Linked DNA regions of Sus scrofa. The protein of the gene in region 1 interacts with the protein of each later gene in a biochemical or structural test. Links are inferred from orthologs where the notes say so. Each region holds a gene or a part of one and is shown on either strand. Other genes may lie near its edges.

Region 1 (4,034 bases):
CAGGCACAGCAAGAAGAAACTGGGACCCCACTGCCCTCATTACAGCCCACTCATAGGGCAAAAAAAGTTCTAGAAGAGTCAAGGAGACCAGAACTAGCATGCCTATGCACTGACCTGTTCCAACAAAGAGAAATAAGCTGTAGTCTCTGCTTCCAGCTAGAGAGCAGTGGCTCAGATGTTTTGCCCAGGGAAAAAAGGCAGGCAGTAAGAACTGAGAGCTCCAAAGATTTCCCTCAAAGACACTGACTTCACAATGAACAGAATATGGATTAGCCCAAGTCTAAAGGCACTCGTGAAAACAATGGCAATTTTAATGGTAAACACTAGCCAGGCAGTTCCTCACAAAGCTAAACATAGAATTACCATATGATCCAGCAATTCCACTCCTAGATATGTACACAAAAGAAATGAAAACACATTCAAACACTTGCACATGAATATTCATATCAGTACTATTGAAATAGCCAAAAGGTGGAAACTACCCAAATGTCCAACAATGGATGAAGGAACAAAATACAATATATCCATAGAGTAGAATATTATTCAGCCATAAAAAGGGATGGAGTACTGATAAAGATAGAACGCGGTAGACTTCCCGTTGCAGCTCAGTGGGTTAACAACTCGAGTAGTATCTATGAGGATTCAGGTTCGATCCTTGGCCTCACTCAGTGGGTTAAAGGAGCTGATGTTGCCACAAGCTGTGGAGTAGGTTGCAGATGCAGTTTGGATCCAGCATTGCTCCGGCTGTGGCTGTGGCACAGGCAGGCGGCTGCAGCTCTGATTCAACCCATAGCTTGGGAACTTCCATATACCACAGGTTTGGCCCTTTAAAAAAAAGAAAAGGAAAAGAAAAGAAAAGGAAAAGAGAAAGAAAGAAAGAAAGAAAGAAAGAAAGAAAGAAAGAAAAAGAAGGCGGCATGAAACATTATGCTAAGTGAAAGAAAACAGACACAACAGATCATTCGCTGTATGAATACACTTACATAAATTATCTAGAACAAGCAAATTCACAGAGATTAGAAACTCCGAAAAGCAGGAGTGGGATGGAGTAAGGAGAATGGGATGCTTAATGGTTAAAGAAGTTGTCTGGTGTGATGAAAGTTTTGGCAACAGTGGTGACAGTTTCCAAACACTGTGAAAGTAATTAATGACACTGAATTGTACACTTAAAAATGGTTAAAATGGCAAATTTTACCATAATAAAAAGAATTCCCAAAAAAAGCAAGTACACCAGAGCATCCACATCACATTTAAGCCTGGAGAAGAAACACTGCAGGGCTTAATGACCACATAAGTGGTCAAGCCGCTAAAGTCTGGGGGCAAAATGAAGAGTTGTTAAGTCCACACTGTGGAGGGCTTTGAATAAAAATGACTGAACTAGAGGAAACTGGCCACAGAAAGCTATTTTAGGCTTGTTGAAAGCTTAAGAACTAAATGAATGGAGATGTATAGGCAAGAAAGTTAGAGAAAAGTAACTGAAAATAAAAAAAATATTAACACAGGAATCCAGCAGTTTCCTTACTTCTGCTGCTGCCATACTGACTGTTGCTCATCTGTGACTATTTATATAACTTTCGACACAATTTAAGACCCTAGTAGGTAATTCTTTTGTTTCTTTTTTTTTTTTTTGGTTTTCTTTTCATTTTTAACCCAACAAACACCGACCAAACTAAGCCTATGCCTTAAAACAATGAACCAAATCTTGCCATTGTGACCTTAACCAACATTTTAGGGCCCATTAAACTCAAAGATGTGAAAAATTTGGACAAATACTAACCCAGATTTTCTTTTTTTATCCTTGAAAAAAAAAAAAAAGACTAGTGATGATTCGCTTTTTAAAAGATTTTGGTTTTTAGACAATGAACAAGCTGGATTTTTACTCACCAATTTCCTCTGATTCTTGCCCAGAGGCTCTAAGCTTGCATTCTTTTGGATAGTGTTTCTGAATTATCTTCCACAGTTCCATGTTGACAAGAGAATTTGTTCGGGTGCGGTGTCGAGTCCACGAAGAGACTCGGCGGCGACAGAAGGGGCAGCACAAATTTGCTTTTTCGACAGTCGACTGGAAGCATGGTTTACACAGCGTGTGGTTACAAGGGAGTGTCACAGGCTCAAATAGAATTTCCACACAGATCTGGCACTGGCATTCCGACAATGAAGGGATGGCGTCCTTGGGTACAGCCATTTTAATATGCTAAAAAGGCATATTCAATCAACATCAACACCTGAAAGAGAAAGAATCCTCATCTACAGCCCAAGTTCGGAGAAAGCGAATTAAGTTTTGTGTTTAAATTTTATGCCCAGTAGCCTACCAGAATTCAGAGACTGGGAACATCAAATGTCTTTAAAGCAAAAAAGTGTTCTGAGGGTCAGGTAAACAGTACGACCGTGGAAGGAAGTGTGTTTGTCCATGTTAAGACAAACGTCCGAAATGAAAACAAATGAACCTTGACTGCTCCCAGCATTAACAGCCGTTGCGGCAGGGCGGATGGTGGGCTCTCTGGCCCCCGCAGGAGGCACGCGCCAAGTTCCCCTCCTTTCTCTTACCAGGTGAGGATGCTCCCGTAGCTCCCGGAAGCCAAGCCGCAGACCGCAGAGGCGCGCAGCTACGCAGCCACCGCTAGAGGAAGAACGCTTCTTCCGCCCGGACGAGGAGCTCCGAAGGAGTAGGACTTCCGTTTTACCATTGTCGGGGGCCGCGCGCGAGCCCTTCCGGGCGCTCTGAGCCCGCCCCTCCCTCTCTTCCATCTACCCAAAAGCCTAACCTTGGCGCGGTGCTGTAGCAACCCGACAAGGGCTAGTGACGTCACGACTGCCCGCCAAAACAGCCCCTCCCACCTAGAGAACCAACCAAAGGTAGAGAGGGCTAACATTGGGGCGGGACTTCCGAGTCTGCGCGCGCTGCCCGACCCGAGCCCCGCGCCCCGCCCCCCCAGAGCTGGTCTTCTCGGTGTGTTGCAGTCCTTTCTTCGCAGACCCTGCGTCGTCACATTGACTGCACTTTAGTATTTCCCTCTTGATTTCTGCTCCCAGAGGCTGCAGAAATCAGGGTATGTCGCAAGGTTGGTCTCTTGTCAGAAAAAGTGAAACTTAAAGGCAAATTAAAAGCCGATGGAGTTCCCGCTGTGGCGCAGTGCTTTAAGGGTCCGGTTTGCCGCGGAGGCTAGTTTGATCCTTGGCCCTGTGCAGTGGGTTGGGGATCCCAGATTGCTGAAGCTGCTGCATAGTTCTTACCTGTGGCTTGGATTCGATCCGTGGTCCTGTCACTCTTCTGTGCAGTGGGTGCGCCCCCCCCAAAAAAGCTTGACAATAATTTTTAAATTCTTCCCTTAGTACTCCTCAAACTACCCTTGTTTCTTTTCATTTGTAAGGAAGCCTCTTAGGTCGCTTTCCAGAGTTCTTGTAAAAGCATCTCTAGGATGATTTCTGAGAAAGGCTGTGGTCAAAGAATCTGCAAACTTGCTACAATTTAACAGGTACTTGGGAAACAAACTGTAGGACTGGCAGGATCCTGGGGCTTAGCCAACATGTGCATCAATTATAAGGCACTGCTTTATTGTTTAATTTCAGTCTAGACCAATCAAAATTACAAAAGAAGTCAAAAGGAAAATATTTTAACTTTATGCATTTTGAAATGTTTTCCCACTTGGTTTTGTTAAGGCAGCTGCTCAACAGCCCTGCGCTGCAGCGTATCAGCTCTAGCGACAGCCCTGTGGCTGCAGTGTTTCAGCTCTTTTACCCAGGGAGAAACCAAGTGAGCACTGGGAAAGTTGGAGAATTCACGTTTATTATGCCGGCAGGCTCAGAGGAGATTGCTCTCCAGAGTCTGAGCCCGGAAGAAGTCTTTCACAAAGTTTTTATGGGCTACCTCTTCTGAGCTCCTGCTTGGCGGACCAGAGTGAGGTCAGGCAAGGTAGTAGATGCGGAAGCAAGCTTACTGCAGCAGATGCGTGAGGGAGGGGTGGTTAGGGGCAGGTGGCTGGACTTTGCTTAGTCATCATGACGGGGGGGGGGGGGGTGTCTCTCCTTTCTAC
Region 2 (4,204 bases), on another chromosome or scaffold:
CATGCAGGATCCCAGCCACGCATGCCATCTAGTCCACAGCTCAGGGCAACCAAGGATCCTTAACTCACTGAGTGAGGCCGGGAATTGAACTCGCGTCCTCGTGGATACTAGCTGGGTTCTTTAGCGCCAAGCCACAACAGGAACTCCCAATTTTTTAATTTTAAAATTAACAGCAAATTTCCAAAAAAACTTGATAAAACTTTCAGATTGAAACCCAAACTACAGTACTAAAGAGTATATATTTCAAATTTTCTTAATGTCAGAAATACTGAATTATGTTTATAACGTAATTACTGTTAAAACTCCAAGTATGAAAGATTTGGATCACTACTGTCTCCAAGCAGCTGGACGTGTACAGAGGTGCTATTAATCTATTAGTTGGAAAATTAAGTAGCTGGCATTATGATAGTACTGTGTGTACAGTACTATTTTTTTAAGCCCATCATTTGCATTTGATTACATGGACCATCTGTAACTGCCTGTGAATCATATGAGGACATTTACCGAACATTTGTCAAGTAGCAAAATGTTTAGCATAGAAGAGTTGACACATAATAGCCTTCATGTTTCACTAAATCAACTTTAGAAGCCAGGCTATAGGTACAACCCACAGACGTGTAGTCTTTAGAAAAATATGATTTGATTAAAGAATACCGCCTCAGCCCAAGCCTTCAGTGGGTAGACCAAAAGGTCTTTTATGACCAGCGAGGTGACTTTGCTTCACCGTCTTTTCCATGAAACTGTTCTGTTGGGGTTGGGGAGGTAGGGGGTTCAAAAAGTCCTGAGAAAAGAAGAGGAAGGAGATACAGCTGAAAAAGTGGGAGCAGAGGGTCGTGATGAATCGGTGGCTGGGCACTTGCCTAGGAGGAACAAACGCGAAATCACTACCCAGACTATGGTTAGCGAAGGAGTCGGGGCGCCTTTCACTGGACGCCTTCGCGCCACCTGTCAGACCGGAGGTGTCAACGGGAATGCAGGGGGGTCGGTGAAGGTACCCCGTGCTCCGGAAGAAGGCTGCGGACAGGCGGGTCTCTGCCCGCCAGGTGTTCTAACGGGGCGGAGGCGGAGGGAGGGCAGGGCAGGAAGGAGGGAGTGCTAGTCCCCGCTTTCCGAGGTCTCTGGAACCGAGCAAGGAGGCAAAGGTGGAATAGGGGGCAGCTACTGCGTGCCCCTCCCCTGAGCCTCTCAGCTCCTCCCTCCAGGCACGTGACTAAGCCGGCGGGTGCCCTGCTCAAGCAGCGTAGCTCGCTCTGTTTCTTCCCTCCCGCCGCTGTGCCCTTCTTCTCCCGGGTTCCCATCCCTCCGTTCTCCCCCACCTCCTTCTCATGCCCCAATAACAGCTCGAGCTGCAAAGCGCCCGCCCCTCCGCCCTTTTCTTCGCTTGCTCATTGGCTGAGACTTCAAGGACGCGGCCCGAGGGCGGGTGGCAGCCATTGGTGGGATGAGCAATCCGAGTTCCCGGATGAGGGAACATTCTGCAGTATAAAGGGAGCGGGGAAGGCGGGAGACAGCGCAGTTTGAATCGCGGTGCGACGGAGGAGTAGGCGGCGGGATCTCGCTTGGTGACTGACTAGTCCTTTCTCTGCCTTGCTTGTTTGAGCTTCAGCAGAATTCGAAATGGTAAACTTCGCGGAGGCGCTCGAAGACTACGCGGGTTTTTGCCGGCAGGAGAAAAACCCGTTACACACGGAGATGGGGGTGAAGCGGTGACGGTTGGGAACGCGCGGAGAGAGGATGTGGAAGAGCGGGGGGAGGTGTTTTGTCGGCGGCGAGCGGAGCAGCCTCCGATCTCGCGGCGGGCGGCGACGGTTGGGTGGCGCGCGCAGCGCCGCTGGGAGCCGGAGGGCGGTGAGCGGGCGGCCTGAAGCGCGCGGCCGCGGCGGGCGCGCAGCGGGGGGCAGGCGGGCGGGGTCGCCCTTGCGGCGCGCGGCGGGCCGGAGACCCCGGCTGGGCACCGGGCCCCGCTCGCGCCCGGGCCGCCCCGCGGTGGGGGAGGGGCGCGCCGCCTTGGTAATCCTGTATTCTGCGTTCCTTCTTCGCTCGCGGGCGTGTGCGCGCCGCAGGCTGGCGGTAAGGCTGGGAAGGACTCCGGAAAGGCCAAGACAAAGGCGGTTTCCCGCTCGCAGAGAGCCGGTTTGCAGGTCAGTGGGGGTTTCTGCTGTCTGGGAATCGCGGCGTTTTTCTCTCCTTTTTCTCTGTTTATCATTGCACTAGATGAGCTTTTGGTCTTTGCGTGGTGATGGTGTCGGGACTTGGTTTACCGATACAATAAATATTGGGGAAGGGGGGGCGATCACGTGTGGCGATGCTAGGGCGCGTTGCTGCATCAGCCTCCGTGCCCCTTGCTTTGGCGCGCGTATAATTTGACCATTTTTGGCTCCTCTATCTTTGTGCATTTGTGTTTGTGTATGCGAAAAATGAAGTTTCCGGTGGGCCGTATTCATCGACACCTGAAATCTAGGACGACCAGCCATGGACGTGTGGGCGCGACTGCCGCTGTGTACAGCGCAGCCATCCTGGAGTACCTCACCGCAGAGGTAAATGGGTGTACGCCTGTAATCTGGAAAAGGTGGTGGGGGGAGGCGGTGAGAGGGAAGGAGGAAAGTGATGCAAGAAAACTCCCAGGCTCTGAACGCGGTGAGAAGCTTCTGACAACGCTAGAGGGGGCTGGTGTTCATTTTGGGTTCCTCCTGAGCTTGAGTTGACTGCTTTAGGAAATAAAATTGCGTGTCCCCTTTATAGCTTTTGCATATCTTGCCATTCAGGTAGTGGGGGGAGACGGCAGTTGGTAGATACACGTTCACGAAGGTTTGATTCTTCTGGATCTTGATCCTAAGGAAAGTTGGCAGGAGATTGATTAGATTCTGTCTTCTAGGTACTTGAATTGGCAGGAAATGCATCAAAAGACTTGAAGGTAAAGCGTATTACTCCTCGTCACTTGCAACTTGCTATTCGTGGAGATGAAGAATTGGATTCTCTCATCAAGGCTACAATCGCTGGTGGTGGTATGTAAATACTAAAAATTTTTTAATTTCTTTAGATAATTCTTTACTTTTTTCCCCCACTAGAAGAGGACACTTAGTGTTATTTTCAGTGATCTGTAGTATGGTTGCATCATGAAAATTGATTCCTGTATATAACTTAGTGAATTTTTACTTCTGCATACTCTGGCCTCACATTTAAAGACTTCTTCGAAGTTGAACGTTAAACTGTCATGGTTTTGAAGTCCTGTGTTAATTTTCAAAATAATGTATATTTAAAAGTATCCCTTTCCTCCCCTAGGTGTCATTCCACACATCCACAAATCTCTCATTGGGAAGAAAGGACAACAGAAGACTGTCTAAAGGATGCCTGGATTCCTTATTATCTCAGGACTCTAAATACTCTAACAGCTGTCCAGTGTTGGTGATTCCAATGGACTGTATCTCTGTGAAAAACACAATTTTGCCTTTTTGTAATTCTATTTGAGCAAGTTGGAAGTTTAATTAGCTTTCCAACCAACCAAATTTCTGCATTCGAGTCTTAACCATATTTAAGTGTTACTGTGGCTTCAAAGAAGCTATTGATTCTGAAGTAGTGGGTTTTGATTGAGTTGACTGTTTTTAAAAAACTGTTTGGATTTTAATTGTGATGCAGAAGTTATAGTAACAAACATTTGGTTTTGTACAGACATTATTTCCACTTCGGTGGATAAGCTCAATAAAGGTCATATCCCAAACTAGTTGTGTATTAAATTCACTTGATTATGATGGGAACAACTTTTGTTTTGAATAACTATCTTATCCAGCAATAACTTAATAAGCACGTTTCTTACCTTGAAATTAAAATGTTAATTTTGTAGATCAACAAACCTCGAAGGCTAAAGCATATATATATTTTTTAATGCTATGAGATGAACTATTAAAGATTTTAAAACTTCAGTAGGAGCTTGGAACTGGACAAGGTGATGTTTTTTAGGTTAAATTTGATCATCTCAATTTGTCGCTGCACTTGCTGTTTGTGACAGCAGCACTACATCCAGAGCACTGTCATGGACTGGGGCAGGTAGGGAAGTTCTGTATATTGCTACCTCCACAGAAGGTACTTTCAGTATAAACAGTGAAGTGTTTCCTGTGTTCTCCCACTGTTTCAAAGGCTACCTGGATTAAACTGTTCAGTATGCACCATCTAATCCCGTTTTTACAGAAAAGAATCAAGGTTGGAG

Evidence for each region.
Region 2: of the proteins of RNF168 (region 1) and H2AFZ, one has a biochemical effect on the other in vitro, tested with the Homo sapiens proteins (3 studies listed by BioGRID, with this or other methods). The link is inferred for Sus scrofa from reciprocal best matches to the Homo sapiens genes RNF168 and H2AZ1.

What each region holds. Positions count from the first base shown.
Region 1 is NC_010455.5:133,624,312-133,628,345, reverse strand, and holds the start of RNF168 (E3 ubiquitin-protein ligase RNF168), read right to left. Parts: upstream 2,801-4,034; 5' UTR 2,548-2,800; exon of another isoform or gene 2,313-2,547; intron 2,226-2,312; 5' UTR 2,186-2,225; coding exon 1,885-2,185; intron 1-1,884. UniProt on the Homo sapiens protein: E3 ubiquitin-protein ligase required for accumulation of repair proteins to sites of DNA damage. Acts with UBE2N/UBC13 to amplify the RNF8-dependent histone ubiquitination.
Region 2 is NC_010450.4:120,562,320-120,566,523, forward strand, and holds H2AFZ (histone H2A.Z), read left to right. Parts: upstream 1-1,432; 5' UTR 1,433-1,617; coding exon 1,618-1,620; intron 1,621-2,063; coding exon 2,064-2,141; intron 2,142-2,423; coding exon 2,424-2,537; intron 2,538-2,875; coding exon 2,876-3,005; intron 3,006-3,282; coding exon 3,283-3,344; 3' UTR 3,345-3,704; downstream 3,705-4,204. UniProt on the Homo sapiens protein: Variant histone H2A which replaces conventional H2A in a subset of nucleosomes. Nucleosomes wrap and compact DNA into chromatin, limiting DNA accessibility to the cellular machineries which require DNA as a template.